2 linked regions of the Struthio camelus genome follow. The protein of the gene in region 1 binds, or shares a complex with, the protein of each later gene. Links are inferred from orthologs where the notes say so. Each region holds a gene or a part of one and is shown on either strand. Other genes may lie near its edges. The genes, in order: PTH1R and PTH.

Region 1 (7,353 bases):
AAAGTCGACTACAGTCAGAGGAGATGCTAATCCAACCCCAGAACAGAAGAGAAACCTCATCCGTCACTAAACCCTCAGAGACTCTACAGCTAGCCTCCCAGCAACTTCTGGTCTTCTTTGGGCTTTGAAAGGTTTATCCATGCTTGAGATAGACAGTGGTAGGGATGGACTGCAATAGCGACTCTTTCCAAGGGGCTGCTGCTTCTCCTTCATCTATGAGATGTTTCCCTCCAGCACTATGCTGGATGTACTGGGGAAATGCCTACCTCAGCCCTGCACAAGGTCGCAAATAATTCCCACCAAACCCAGGGGAATGAGCCCAGCCTGACAGTCCCTGGAGCATCAGGGAGGACCTGGCTGGAGCTGGGATCGGGGTTAACCTGCTCCCCTCCAAACGCATTTCCATGCTCTTTGGACAGCAGACACCATCCCAGGTGGTGGTCATGCTACTTCCTACACCAGACGGTACTGAGAAAGGGCAGCAACGATGTTGATGCCAGGGATGGAAAAAGAAACCAAAGTGCATGTCAATGTGGTATATGCGCCATGGATTAAAATCTGATGGCTCACTTTGTATGACATTTGCCTTCACTTCTGCAGAAGGGCTTAAGAAATCACTCAAGGCTGCAGAGAGGGTCTGTAGAGCTAAGTCCCTTCCCCATCATCACCATCAAGACAGTTTTAACAGAGTTTAGCCCTTTTTACAACACTTGTCTCCCCCTGTAAAAAAAGGTCTCTATCAGTGTGTTCAGGAACAGGTGAAAATAGCCCCAGGTAGCAAAGGGTTAATACTACGTTCATTCTCTGGAGTGTAAACTATCTGCCATCCATGCACTGAGGTTTGGACTCTAAGGTTCTCTCCAAAGTTAATCTCAGAAAGGCACTGTTTTGCTGAGATTAAGCAGATTTGCAGATTAAAGAGATTAAATTAAAATTAAATCTGTCATGCTGGTGGGTGGGCCGTAAAAAGACTAAAGTTTCCCTTGACTTACTGGTAGGTGTCTTTTAAATTGTTCCCCAAATGCTTCCCTTTGCCTCCTCTCCCTGTCAAACTGCACACGTTTCTCTCTGGAGAGTTTTAAAAGTGATTCAAGCTCTTCTGGAAGCACAGACATTTTAATTTCATCTGGTGCAGCAACTCTGAGACCAGCTACACACACTATCTGCCAACGAAATAAACCATTGGTCTGAAAAACCAGCGCTCTGCCTTCTAAATCCCTGATACAGTAAATTACTCATCAAGGAAACAGCCGAACAGCTTGTTCAAGAATGTGAAGGGAAAAGATTCAGCGACTCACCAGAGCGTAGACAGAACTCAGTACGGAGCAGCAGAGGATCAAACCCAGACTGTGATAAACCAGATATGATCCCATATCCAAGAGGCTTCTTCCAGCATCCAAGATCTCTCAAGGAAGTAGGAGGACGAGAGGTCTTCCAGCGCTCCAGTTGCAGATGATTTCTCCTTCTCCTTCCCTCCCGCCCCCCCCTCCAGAATTTGTGTTTGTTTGATTGTTTGTTTGTTTCCACAGTTTTAGCCAGAAAGGCACATGACAAGAAACCCCGGTCCTTTGCTTCGCTTTCTCATGGCTGGAGATCTGGGCAGCTCCCTAAATGCAGTGTAGGAGCCCATGTGAAGCGGAGCAACTTCGCTCCCTCAGAGCTGCAGCCCCTGGTGCTGTTTGTTTTCCGTGTGCATCTGTCTCAGAGCAGAAAAATCACATCCATATGTCAAAACTGCTATTCTGTTTCCTTTTTATGAGGCAGTGGGAAGTTCAAATAATTTCTTTGTCAAACGCAAACACACAGAAAGAGAGAGAGAGAGAGAGAGAGGGAGGGAGGGAGGGAGAAGGAGTGAGAGAGGGGTGGAAGGGGTGGGAGATTGGAGAGGGTGGGGGAGGCTTTTAACCACTGCTTTATTTTTAGATCCAGTAATTTTATCTTTTAGGTTTCAGAGGGGTTTGGGGGGGGGGGGGGAAAGGCTTTTTTTCCTTCTTTTTTCGGCATGCAAACAAATCGCAAAGTCGAAAGTTAAAAAAAGCGAAAACTTGGAAATATTTTCACTTAGCAATTACCTTTTTACAAACAGTGGTACTCTTGGGGATTTTTGCTTGTATATTCCAGTGCATTTCAGCGCTCCACAATAGGTTTATTCTGCCAACCTTCCAGGTTGCAGTGTGTTTTAGTTACAAATAGGGATTTTTGCTTCTCTCTCCCTCTCTGTCTCAAAGGATCTGCAGTTTCAAAAAGCCAATTGAGCACGGCATGAAAGCGTGGGGCTGCAAGATCGCTCCCACCCCCACCCCCGCCACCCGCTTTAAGCAGTTTATTTTAGATCCTCGCTGTTAAAAACACACACACACACACACACGCACACACACACACAAAACCCAACAACAACAAAACGCTTTTCACTTACTCCGCGGAATTGTGTGAAATCCTCGCTTTTCCATTCGCCCGACCGCACGCGCACACACACAGACACACAGTCCTTGTCCCGCGTCCCCAGCACCAGTGTCACCGAAACGCGGGGAGGGGAAGGCGCTGCCTTGCGCCGTGCGCGCAGCGCCGCCGCCGCCCCGGGCCGGCCGCGGAGCGGTGCGCGCCGGCGGGCTGCGCGCTCCCGCCGCCCGCCCGCCGCCGCCGCGTACAGAAAGGAGGTAGCAGCATGGCTTTGGAGGAGGGGGGGGGGTGTAAAAAAAAACAAAGCAAAACAAAAAAACTCCAGGGACGGGATGGGGGGTTGCGTGGGGGGGGGGGGGGGAAGATCCAGGCTGGCTACCGGTTTTGGGAGCGCATCGCTCCGCCGGGCGCGGGGCTGCCGCGTCCCTATTCCTTCCCCCCCTCAACCCCTTCCCACCCCCCCGCCCCCGGCCCCGAAACCCCTCTGCCCCGCAGGAGGCTCCCGAAATTGACCAGCTTGTCAGTTTCACGGCAGCGGCGTTACTCCCAGTTTCATTCATAAAAACTGCAGGGCCAAAAAAAAAAAAAAAAAAAGGGAGACAAGACCCCCCCCCGCCGCCCCCGCTTCAGCCTCCCACCTCCAGCGTAGCCCCCTCCTTTTGGGGAGTTTTCTCGAGAAGCCGCAAAGAGCCTCCATCATCCCTTATCTTTTTTTTTTTTTTTTTTTTTTTTTGGCGTGGGAGGAGTGTTGAGGAGGGGAGGGGGCTGGAGATCGTGACAGCGATGCGACACGCGCGCAAACACGCACACGCCGCGCTGCGCTGAGGGCTGACTCATGGGGGAACTCTGGAAACCTTCGCTCGCCTCGGGTTTCTCGTTACTTTCTTTCTTTCTTTCTTTCTTTCTTTCTTTTTCTTTCTTTCTTTCTTTCTTTCTTTCTTTCTTTCTTTCTTTCTTTCTTTTTCTCCCCCCTCTCTGTTTTTCTTGCAGAAGCAGCGGATTTCTGCCGGGCGTTGGTGAGTTAGAGGGAGCTGAACGGCCGTAAGCAGGGGGAAAGAAAAAAAGAAAAAAAAAAAACAGAACGAAACAAAACCAACCAACCAAACCCCAAACCAAACCAAAAACCCTCTCTAGATCTGTCGCAGGGCAGACGGTAAAAACATCAAGTTTTCGCAGAGTGGAGCTGTGTGCATTTCTCTTTTATTTTTTGGAGCGAAGAGGAAAAAAAAAAAAAAGAGAGAGAGAGAGAGAGAAACTCTACAGTCGGTTTGTTGCTTTTTTTTTTTTTTTCACAGCCCCGTGGCTGTGAATAGGTGCCTTCAGCTAATTTTATGAAAAGGGGCTCTTTCCAAGGCTAAGGTAGAGTAGGGCTTCCTGTAAGAGAGAGAGAGCAAAAAAAAAAAAAAAAAAAAAAAGTTCGGCTCTTGATGCAATCTTTTCCTCCTCCTCCTTCCTTGCAAGCTCTCTGCCTCTCTCTGCCAGCCTCCGCGGACCTCGGCGGCTGCGTGCAGCTCAGCGGGGGGAGCGAGGCAGGTATAAAAACCCCCACGGGCTGGCCCTATCATTGGCTGGCCCTAGCCAGCCTGTGACCGGCAGGCTGGGAAGCACGGGGTCAGGCGTGCACCCCTCCCACCCCCCCCCTTCCCACCCCCTTCCCCTCCGCCGTGCAGGGGAGCCAGCTCGCAGCCTGCACGGGCAACACATGCCTCCAGTGAGGCAGTGCATGCGGCTGCGAGGCCTGCGAGGAGGCAGGCTGGGGGGGCACCTTGGGGCGGGGGGTAGTTGGGAGGGAGGAGGAATTTAACAGCAGTGGCAAAAAAAACCCACTAAAGCTCCCCCGTTCCCTCCCCCCCAGCTGCAGAACACTTCTAAGGATGTTTTTCAAGCTCTTGTGCTGTGGATTAAAAAGCTATTTATTGGGCAGAGGGGGTCAAGGAGGAGGGCAGATTGTTTCATTTTAAGAGCGTTTCCTTGGGGAATCCCCATGCAGGTATTTCCACCTCTGTTTGGGTTTCGTTTTTTTTTTTCGGGCCTGGCTCACTTCTGCCCACTGCACTCTGCGAGGGGTGTGTGTGGGGGGGAGTGTTGGGGGGGTGGGAGAGCCTGTGTCCCTTGGGGAAGCCGAGCATCTGTGCGTGTTTAAGTATGGGGCGGGCTGAGTAAATATGTACTCAGCGCTCTATAGTCTTTCTGGGGAAAAAAAAAATCTGCCACAAAGTTTCAGGGGCCCTGTCACGGTTTCTGTTCTTTCTGGGAGAGAGGAGAGAAGCAGAGGCGAGCCTCATATATTAAATTACCCTACCCCTCCCATCCCTCTATCACCACCAGAAAGAGGAGGTGGTGTAAATAAACCAGGATCTTATCCAGTTTGGGGGATGGCCACGTTTAGCCTGTGGTCCCCCGTCCATATCTCATCCCCATGTGCAGGGTGTGGGACAGGACCAGGGATGCTTCCAGGCTGCTGTTTCTCCCCCAGATCATTTAATGATTAAAGGCAGATACCACTGAACTGCTGAAGCTGCACAAGAAGGAAATTGTTCCCTCCCTCCAGCTCCAGTTTAAAGCCTGCCCGAGAAGTACAGCAGGGAAATCTGACTCTGGCTTTGTCTTGCTCTCATAGTCACCATGACTATAGGGGATGTTTTCTTCCATCCCCATTATCCACAAGCAAAATGAACCCACACCTCCGGAGGCCCTAGAGCCAAAGCTGGCCTCTTGCAAGATACAGTAGTTGGAGCCTGCTTCATTTCTCCTCACCCGTTCTCTTCTTGGTTATTCTAGGAGGATGGAAAGTGCAAAAGCTATAGCTCTTCTTTGGAGGGATGAGCATTCAACATATTGCAGCGGAATCTAAAGGTGGCTTTCCCCACATGGTAGCCATATCTCTCCTCTCAAACCACCCCGTGCAAGACGTGTGGGAGGAGGGAAGAGATACTTCTCCACAGCTCCCCAGTCCTCATCCCTCTTTCAGAAGCAGCCAGAAGAATAAATCTAAGGTTCAATTCACAGCTCTCTAGCACTCATGTCGACTTTTCCTGCTGTTGTGGGTGAGCTCACACCCACAGGAAAGGTCTTCTTGGATGCTGCTCTGCTCATCTCATAACCTTCTTCACTCTCCTCTGGGCAGAGTAGGTGTGCAGGAAGGTAGAGTTGAACAGTAGGACTGTAGGGGTGGTTGATGACACATATCCTCTAAAGTCCTAGTGAATCATGTCCAGAGACTCCCAGTCAGGTACCAGTGCTGGAAATGTGAGCATCTCCGCCATGCTCATGACCCCAGTACAGCTCTGCCCTGAAACAGCTTATCAGTTCTTTGCCCACATAAAAGGGGTCCCTGTCTGAGTCATGGTGTGCCGAGAATCAGACCCTGCAATTTCTGAGCCCCTTGCATCCTTGGAAGACTGTGATGTATGCAAGGTCAGACCAGAAGAGAAGGGTGAAAGAGAAACTGGGTTGCTGTGGTCTGGATTGTAAGTCTTCGATACAAGGTCACTGTGAGCAGAGAAGGAAGAATGCAAGAGCATTTTTATAGGCTCATAAAGGTTATGGACCCATTCAGTTTAGTGTTTTCTCTCTGACAGTCCATGGCAGTGCATGCTATAGCAAGAAGATATGGAGGTGCTTCTGCCACCTGCTCCCCCAGATTGAAGAAGAGATCTACAGCTCAGGGCCTTCCTCTGAGAATCCACAAGATCCTGTGGCAAGGTGTTCCACAGCTTAACTACAGGCACATGAAGAGCTACCTGCTTTTATTTGTGCTGGACTTGCAACCTGCCAACTTCTTGTGATAACTTTCTAGTTCCTGTGCTAGAAAAAATGATGAGCAACCAGTCCCTCCTCACCCTCTCCTGGCCACTCAGGAGTTCATAGACCACTGCTGTATTGCTCCTTCATCATTTTCCACCCTTGAGAGTCCAACGTGCTTCGCTGTTGCTTATACAAAAACTTCCTTCCTCATCTTAGATTATACATGCTGCCTTTCTCTGAGAACTTGGAACAAAGGGATCTGAATATCCTGCTATCCCCTGTCCTCCTGACCATGTCCCCTAGCCACATACAACCTTTCACCCTCTGCCTTTGGTGGTGGTGGCTGCCTCTATGTGTGGGGTGGTAGAGAACAGGTCTCATGCTGCGGCTCTAGTGCTCTAGTTCATTTGTGAACAGATCAGCACCAGGTAACCAGTAAAATGATTTTGTCACTCCCCTTCATTCCCAGATGCTGTGCATTCTCTCAGCCCTGGTTAAAAGAGGATCCTTCCCCTCTCTATGGACTTTTGAAGGGAAAATGATTTATTCTGTGTGTCTGGGTATCTTCTTTTGTTTGGGATGCTGTATGTCAGTGTGTAAGCTCCTTGCTTGGACCGCGAAGGATGACCTCTTCTCACCATACAAAGTAGGACTCCATCCTCCTTGGTAGATCTGTTCCAGGCTGGTGGCCCTGTCAAGGTAAAGGTAATTTGGACAACTAAGTTTTGTTTTGTTTTTCTTTTCGGTTGTATACGTGAATATGTATATAATGAACTAAGAAGGAATGCAGCTCTAAACAAAGCCTATGTGATGTTGCTATTTTAAGGAGACATCAGGAGGTGGTGAAGGTTGAATTCAGTTTCTCCAACGTCTTACACCCGAACCTTCTAAAAGTTTTATGTCCTTCTGTTGGTGTAAAAATAGCAGCAAAAAATGCACAGTCAGTTTAAACTGGCTAAGGATTTGGCCAGAAATGATTTCTACTGTGAATAGGTCCTATCTTGCAGCTAACTTTCACACAGCCCAATATTAAAATTCTCGTCTCCCTGGATTGTTTTCTTCACAGCTGGGTGAATGCTTCCTCTCTGCAGGAGCTGAAGTCCCATCCTAGACAAAAAAAAAAAATCTCCTGCCCTTTCTCCTCTGGGTCACGCAGGTTAAGTGAAACATGCACTACTTACGTCAGCTAAAGTCATTGATCAGAGG
Region 2 (8,024 bases), on another chromosome or scaffold:
TCTTAAGCTTTGCCTTCCTACTTTCATTTCTTATGCTTGCTCTCTTTTATCTTAAATTGATATCTTGCAGCTTCTGCTATGTAATTAAAGCGCGCATTATTTTAGGCCTTTTTCTGAAAATAAATGTGAATATAGATTTACATGTTTTCATTAGTACGAAGTCAAACAGTTTAACACTAGGCAAAATGGGGCCCTATTCTGGGGACAGGTTCTGCTGTGGTTATTCATTTTTCATTAGCAGTTCAGGTAGACATAGAGATTACATACAAGTGTTCTCCATATAAAAGTGGTAGAACTGATCTTAAATGATTTTTCAACCTTGTTGTTGTTGTTGTTTTTTAATTTTGTATTTGAAATTGAAATTTATAAGATGCATTAGCCATTTGAAAGATACCCAAAAATTAGCAGTAATGGACATGGATGGGCTGCAATTACCTATTATTATTTGGTTGTGAAATACCTAACTCAGTGGGGCTGCAATGTTGAGTGGAGCCTTTAATCCTTATTGTAATTTGAATAAATAATAATAAAATGCCCTACTTGATCAGTGATCTATAGACACATGCTTACTTGGACAGACATAGCACTCTGGCTCTTTTCATTATGGCTTTGTTTTGAAGAGTACATCCATGTAAGCTTTGTCCAGATCGATGGATTTCTTCTGCATTGTTGCCCGCAAATGCTCAGGGAGCAGCCTCCGACTTCTAATCTCCCTCAAGACAATATCATCCTTGTTTCGAGGCCTTTGGGTCCTAGCATCCTCGAGGGCACTGTGCACGTCCTGCAGTTTCATCTGAAGCCAGTCCTGTCTCTCCACAGTGTGCCGATGCTCTCCGAGATTATGCATTAGTTGCATCTCACTCACTGATCTTTTCCTGTACAAAAGAAAAGCAAAGACAGAGACTCATCATGACCCTCCTTGAATTCTTGGTCTTCACGCAAAACCCAGATCTGGGAACTTTTGGAAGGTACTGCAATACAGAGTTGTAGAACCTATCTTTCTAATTTATAAGGGATGGAATGACATCTGGAGAAGAGAAGGAGAGTGGATGGTGATTTGTTAATGGCAATGGATTTATTAGTGAGAAGGCAGCAAAAAATGTGGAGTAATTCTGTTTTGTAACAATGCTGTTTGACTGAAGTTAAGTTTATCACTTATTTTAGCTGTTGGAGTTGAGCTCAGGGCTTACATGATAATAGGTAACTGATTAATAAAATTATGGCACTTATTCAGAGGTAGTTTTCTGTGAACACTATAGCTTAGGAAGCATGATTTCCTGTGGATTTGTGTCTCAAGGCTAATTGATGTTAGTGTCTAAGCAAGTGTGAGTTCAGGCTACAGATTCTCCCAGAACTGGGGCTTTTATAAAGATGCCCTCCTGTGTAGATGCCACACATGTCTAGTAATGGATGCAACTTACACAGCTACGGAAATACTTATATGGTTTTTCTTCCTCTACTCAGCTGCCTATTTTCAAGAAATGCATAAGAACTAAGTGGTGATAGAAGGACATAAATGGACATAAACTTCTGTGCAGGCAGACAAATTGACCGTTTTCTCAAGAACAGCTAAAATCATCCTCCAAACTTTAGAAGTGTTTAATAATGTACTTACATCATTGGTCGTCCCTCAGACTTTGTAAAAAAACAAACGGCATATAAAATGATTGCAGTCTTGGCCAGATTTTTTATAGAAGTCATTTTGTCTATAAAGATAGAAATGAATACATATGTAAATGGTTGTTTCAAATATTTATTGTTTAGTTAACTCAAAAGAAATTTATTTTAGAAAAAAAGTTAAAGACAATAGAAAAGTGGCTGAAAAATATTTTCCTCATAAAATGTGTGAGAGCAGGGAATGTAACTGTAGACTTTATTTCTAATACTAATTTTGTGAACAACTTACTGTGTTCTTAGGTAAGTCATAAGAACTTCCATCAGCCTCAGTCACCCTGCATCATCAACATATCAATACCCATCACTTTGACACTTGGATGCAAAACACCGTGTCCTTCCAATAAAATTGTTAGTATTTAGAAATCATTTATACTTGATATGCTGCAAGTATGTTGAAATACTTGTATGTAGCTATGCAGATGAATTTTTTTTCTTTTATCTATTCCTTGTGTGTCACTGAGTTGCATATTCTTTAGCATGAAGAACTTGACACTATTCTCACAATTTTTGCATAGTAACATAATTATACTGAGTTATGTTATTCCCCACTTAATCACGTAAGAGAAATCAGAATTGAGCCTCCCATTTTTCAGTGTTAATACTGCATTGCCAGTGTTAGTTCTACTCTGCTCAGTATATCATCAGCTGAACTATCACCTGGGATATACTTGCAGAATGCTTAGTACTGATGATGCTTCAACAGAGAGAAATAAAACAGTTCAAATTTCAGTTTCCAATTTGGATTTTCAGTATTGGTAGCCAGAAAAGGCATCTTTTTGTTATAATTTATGCAATTTGTGACAGAATAACTGAGACGTAATAAATATAGAACTCCACAGTGCAATTTTTGTAGTATTTTCTACAGATTTACTCTAGGTCAGAAAAGCATTTACTGCACAATATTTTACATGAGAATATGGTTATGCTCCTAGCAGTGAATCTAACTCAATATTATGAATTCATGAGTTGGATTCACTTAAGACATTTCTAACTCACTCTCTCAGATTTCTTCATTTCACAAATCTGGTTCAGATAATAAAATAGTTTGATCTTATATTCATTATATGTTTAAGATAGTCAGAAAAGAAGCTAAAGTAAAAACTGAATAATGAATCAATGATAAAATCAGTCAGAACTCGGAAATAAAAAAGTATACTTACCAGATACTATCTTAAACAGATTTCTGATTTGGGTATGTCAGCAGCTGACTGTCTCTTGATGTCAAGTATATTTAAAGACTACTGAATTGGTCTAGTGCACCCCTTAAATGTAACTTTAAAATAGAGCTTCTAAGTAACTTAGAAGCCCTTTTATTGTCTCAGTTGATGTCACTCTCAACACACACCCTCCTGACCCTCATGTACCCACCCTCAGATGCTTCTGTTAATTGGGCATTTACAGAGAAAAGAAAGGTCTCAGCAAAAAGTAAGTATTCTGGGTAACTGTGAAGAAGTTTAACTTTTAAATTCAGATTCCCTATTATGTGTAGCTTTTGCGCACAAGCTAATCTGATCTCTGAAGCTGTAGTAAGGATTTACAGAGAAAGCTTTGTCATGTTAAATACAGACAGGTAGAATTTAAGATTATGCAGTAGGGTTAATGATCTACAAATGCAAGCTTAACACAAGATATTGAAAAGCTAATTTTTGTAATAGTTGTGGGAAGTGAGAGTAGTCATTTTAGATCTGATACTAGGTTTCTTTGAGAGAGAATATACTGGAGAAGTGCAGAAACACCAATGTGATAGAGGATCATTTCCAAGGTGTTTTTAATGAATAGCTAGTGATACTAAAAAGTTTTTAAAATATGATGCTAGACCCTTGCTATCCTGTCATACATATGCCTATGAATATCCCTGAATTGCTCAAACAAGCTAGATGTAATGGAGGCACTTGAAGAGGCTGTGATATTAGTGCTTTATTCATTTTGTAAAGGAAAGATAGAACTCTTTGCCTACGCTCTAAGAAATTAAACGTGTGTAAATCAGCAATACTTCCCATACGTATGAAGAAAGAGCTTTTTGGCTGCCAGATGCTTTTCCTATATTAGATGTTTCTTCTGGGTTCCAGAATGTTTCTCCAGAAGAAAAAGGTTTACGTCTGCACACTTTGGCACACTATTGGAAGCTATCATTGCTTTACCAGAAACACTGTTTAGATTATGTGATATACCTATAGAATTTCACAAAAAGATAGAAGATACATTTTGTAATATTTGTTTACCTAGGCAGTATTCTCATGGGGAAAGGAAAGAGAATGAAAGAATATTATAAGCAGAAGCTCTACAAAGCTCTAAAAAGAGCTCATGATTCTCTCAGTAAACAGTAAACTAAGAAGTAAGGAACTACTCACTTTAATGAGTTCAAGAAAATAGGGTAGAGATGGTTTCCTGTGTGATACAGTCAGTTGTCAATGTGCTTCCACCCACACGCAGAGAAAGCATACAGATGTTTATGGGGCCGATAAGTTTTGCTAGGAGGTTTATTCCTGGTCTGGCTGCCAGCAATAGTAACCTAAGGCTTTAGTAAATAAAAATATATGATGGACATGGAATGCCAGGAAAGGATTTGAAAAATCTCTACACAATTGGTAACAAAAGGCACCATTTTTTAGATTCAATCATAGTAAACATACACAAAACCTTCAAAGCTAGGCCTCAAGGCAGCGCTCTTGCAAAGGCCTGGCAGCCATTTGGAACCTCTCGCGTATAACAACAAAGCTTTAATTAAAGGCTAAGCATTATCAATTCTAGTGTCTGTATATAAAAAAAGATGTTTTCATATAAACTGAGAGCAAAAATTAGTAATAAACCATTAGTAGTCATTGCAAAATGAGTATTAGCAGACCTGGGTTGCAGAGGTTATACTTTTAGTTGTACTTGCATCCCTTACAACTCACATGTAAATCCTGAAGAGAGACCCCATTCTAGGGCTTTGAATAAAACCGAGAGCATGATCTTGTAATTCTAAATGCTCTGCTAGCTTTGGGCAAATATAGTCTGTTACAGTAGCTACCCTTAAAAAAGATGTAATTTTAGCTAGCTTATTTGCTGCATACCTAGTCTTTATGACAATGATGAAAGAGGATTTCCTCTTCAATGTCATTTTCATTCAAAGGTACTAAATTGGTTGCTCCGTAAATGTCAAACAAAGATTGCTAAACTTGATCCTTAAAATATATTTTTGTGTGTGGAAAAATACAGAAGACAAATCAGAATGGTGCTATTTGCCTCAAATGAGAGAAGATATAGAAAATAACAAAAATATGAAATATATACCCCAATATTTGTCAACTAAAAGAGCCTATGGTAGTAATTACAGAAACTTCAAATTAGAGTACAGAATTGGTATAGTGCATTTGTATATGCAGAAAAAAATTACTGATTTGTTTTGAATTATTACCCTGATATCCAGAAGTGGTATTACTTGAAAATACAGCTGCCTTATAATACCTTATAATACCTTATAATAATGGTCAGATAATGGGCCAAATGAATGTAATTATTTTATGAAATACTGTAATTGTGAACATTTTTCTTTAAAGATAATGTATCCACTGTTTAATGGTCAATATAAAATAGTACTGAGGTCTTTTAGAAGATACTTAAGAAAGATGGAGATTCATGTACAGATTCAAATTTTTCTTAAGCATCCTTATAACAAATTCAGATCCCTTTTGGGAGGTACTTAATGGAACAGCAGAACCCAGGAAACCAGCACCAACCCTTACTGAAGTGCTGTTAAGTGGGAAGCTTAAAACCAGACTACCCAAATATGTAGTCAGTAATGTTATAAAGGAGGTATATAAACCCTTATAAAACAATGAAAAAATAAAATATGATCTGTGCTACAAAAAAGGCATCTCATGAGCCTTTGTACATATAAGACTAGGTATATAAATACAGTGGCAAAATATGAGTGAAAAAAACCAACAGTTTCTTGCAAAAATATCCTCTGCCAGTGAGGTACCCACAAAAGAGAACAGATCTATAGGGGACAATTTTTGCTTCTCTGAGAACAGGAGGAAGAAAAACACAGTGGATTCTGAGTTTCTCAAGTTCTGATATTCTGAAAACTGCAGGCCAATGAGCCAATGCATCAAGCAGTGGATACGACTGAATAGAACAGTCCAGAAGCTATAAATCATTAGATGTTTCAGGTATCTACCAGACATAGGAGACTGATTCAGAGGCTGATTGCAAGCAATTGGCTTATATGTTGCATAATCAATACTGAATTTTCTTTTCCTTTGGAAGAGGGAGAGCTGAGAGTGGGTAACATTTTATGAGACTTGGGTTGAAATATAATCATGGTTGGAAGATTCTGGTTCGAGTCTGTGATTATTTCTTCAAGTATGTCAGTCAAATGTCTCAGGCTAGAGAGAGTTCTCATTATCTAAAAACAAGGAATGCTATATGAAGTGTGACAATATAGCAATATACTCCAGATTGTAGTATGATAATAGCTAATATGTGGTATCAAGCATTATAGCTGTAAGCATCAAACAAGAGAGTGGCTCTTCTGAAGGAGAAGCCTGGAAAATTGAAGATGATGGAATCATAGTGTAGGAGAGAAGAGCTTTTTCCTCTGAAAAGCCTTTTCCTTGACCAGTTGTAGAAATACTATTCCCTGACCTTCCCTTATAGATTGAGTAGATAAATTAACCAACTGTGCGTGAAAAAATCTCTGTGCTGCTTTATTTGCAGGAGGCATGCCACCTTACTTTGAATTTGTGCCATTGAACGTAATCGTACTCCAGGACTGAAAACAAGTGGGAAGCAATTAGACAGATTTTACAGCCAGGTAGGTGAACAATGGCCATATTCTAAAAATACTGAATTCTCCTTCTTACAGTCTATCCATTTTGTCAGGAAAAGGGATTATAGCGCATCTTGAAACTAAACATATCCTGAGGTACCTTACTGGATTATGGTTAGAGGACAGAGTACTTTCTAGGATTATACCCTAAGTGACTAGAGCATATTTTTCACAGATTAATTGTACAATCTGGTGTATTAATATTCCTGTAGAGATGTTAATCCTCTAAATTTGAGTTAAGGTTTAAGTACTGAAGTCAGATTATTTCCATGTTATTTACAAAATCAGGCTTTTACCACTTTCCTTATTTCAGCAGGCAGTTTCAGATAAAATGCATTCTAACCAGAACTGTAGCTAACAGAGTATTAGTAGGTCATTGAGCAAGGGAACAAAGTAATTGGTGACACACTGGTTGACTGGTGAGACAACCTTTCTAAATGTGTCCAAAGAATGTTTCTGCCTTGACACAATGAAGATCCAAAGTGACAGTCAGTAAACTCTTCAGATCTTTGTTTGATTGACAAGATTTGTGGCTTTTCAAATACCACAGCAGCATGTTTGGTAATTTATGTAAGTAATGTGGGGTATCCTCAGGTGTTCATTGGGTTCCTGCAACTAAATGAAGCTTCGATCACATGTCAAGTTCCTGTTAGATGAAAAACAACAAATGGCCTTATGTGAAAATCAAAAGATAGCGTAACACAGTTTCGGTGTGTGCCCGATCTGCCTGATACAGCAGCTACAACAGCTACTGAGAAATATGAGCTTGGAAATAATTGCTTGCCAGTATATCTTACTCCAGTTACATAGCATCCTTCATCTGAGAATCACAATGTTAATGAATCTCCTTAATTTCTTTGTGAGAAAAATAAGTATTGGTGTTATTTGTGTATGTTTAATGGACATTTAGGGAAAGACAGATTAAATGCGGATCAGAAAGAAAACAAAAGCTGGCAGATTCTAATCTCAGCCACCTAACTTTACATACATTGCTTACATAGGTAGATAAACTAGACACTGTAGCGATAACTGTGATCCAGATTATTTCTAGAGTTTTCAGTGAATGAATGAATCACATAGTCTGATCACCATGATCACATGCTGTCTGAATGGACGCCTGCTATTTTTGCCCTGAATTTAACTTGTCCAAGTTATAAAATAACAGAGGTATCCTGTTTATCATGGATTTTCTCTCATGACCTACCATGGACATGCCATGTTTTGATGATATGATCATGAATGTATGGGTGTTTGCTCTCTGCATGCCGCCCTACACCTTGGCTGCATAGAGTTTCATATAGCATTACATGGCTGTTTTGAAGCCTAAACGGAGAGCCCTGCTTACCTCATCTCTCTCTCATGAGAAGAATCTGAAGCTTGATGAAGCAGCCCAGAACAGCCTGGAGGAATGCTACAATGGCTGTTAAGGAAAGTCATGAAGATGAGGTACATCTTATTCTCTACAGAGACATTTTTCAGTGGTCAGTAACAACAATGCTATTTTGTATCAGAAACAACAGGAAAAGCCTTG

What was found.
Region 2: the proteins of PTH1R (region 1) and PTH are in contact, whole or in part, in a cryo-EM structure (PDB 9JR3), measured with the Homo sapiens proteins. The link is inferred for Struthio camelus from reciprocal best matches to the Homo sapiens genes PTH1R and PTH. Residues at the interface, in NP_000307.1 of Homo sapiens: Val31, Met32, Thr33, Lys34, Glu35, Gln37, Ile38, Leu41, Glu111, Trp112, Asp113, His114, Ile115, Ile135, Tyr136, Asp137, Phe138, Arg146, Arg162, Thr163, Ala165, Tyr167, Val171, Leu174, Thr175, Glu177, Glu180, Arg181, Phe184, Leu187; in NP_000306.1 of Homo sapiens: Ser32, Val33, Ser34, Glu35, Ile36, Gln37, Leu38, Met39, His40, Asn41, Leu42, Gly43, Lys44, His45, Leu46, Asn47, Glu50, Arg51, Val52, Glu53, Trp54, Leu55, Arg56, Lys58, Leu59, Asp61, Val62, His63, Asn64, Phe65.

What each region holds. Positions count from the first base shown.
Region 1 is NC_090943.1:2,173,766-2,181,118, forward strand, and holds the start of PTH1R (parathyroid hormone/parathyroid hormone-related peptide receptor), read right to left. Parts: upstream 3,124-7,353; 5' UTR 3,039-3,123; intron 2,590-3,038; exon of another isoform or gene 2,417-2,589; intron 2,232-2,416; 5' UTR 2,073-2,231; intron 1,834-2,072; exon of another isoform or gene 1,697-1,833; 5' UTR 1,374-1,696; coding exon 1,299-1,373; intron 1-1,298.
Region 2 is NC_090946.1:25,615,716-25,623,739, forward strand, and holds PTH (parathyroid hormone), read right to left. Parts: upstream 2,925-8,024; 5' UTR 2,838-2,924; intron 1,707-2,837; 5' UTR 1,702-1,706; coding exon 1,616-1,701; intron 876-1,615; coding exon 602-875; downstream 1-601. UniProt on the Homo sapiens protein: Parathyroid hormone elevates calcium level by dissolving the salts in bone and preventing their renal excretion. Acts by binding to its receptor, PTH1R, activating G protein-coupled receptor signaling.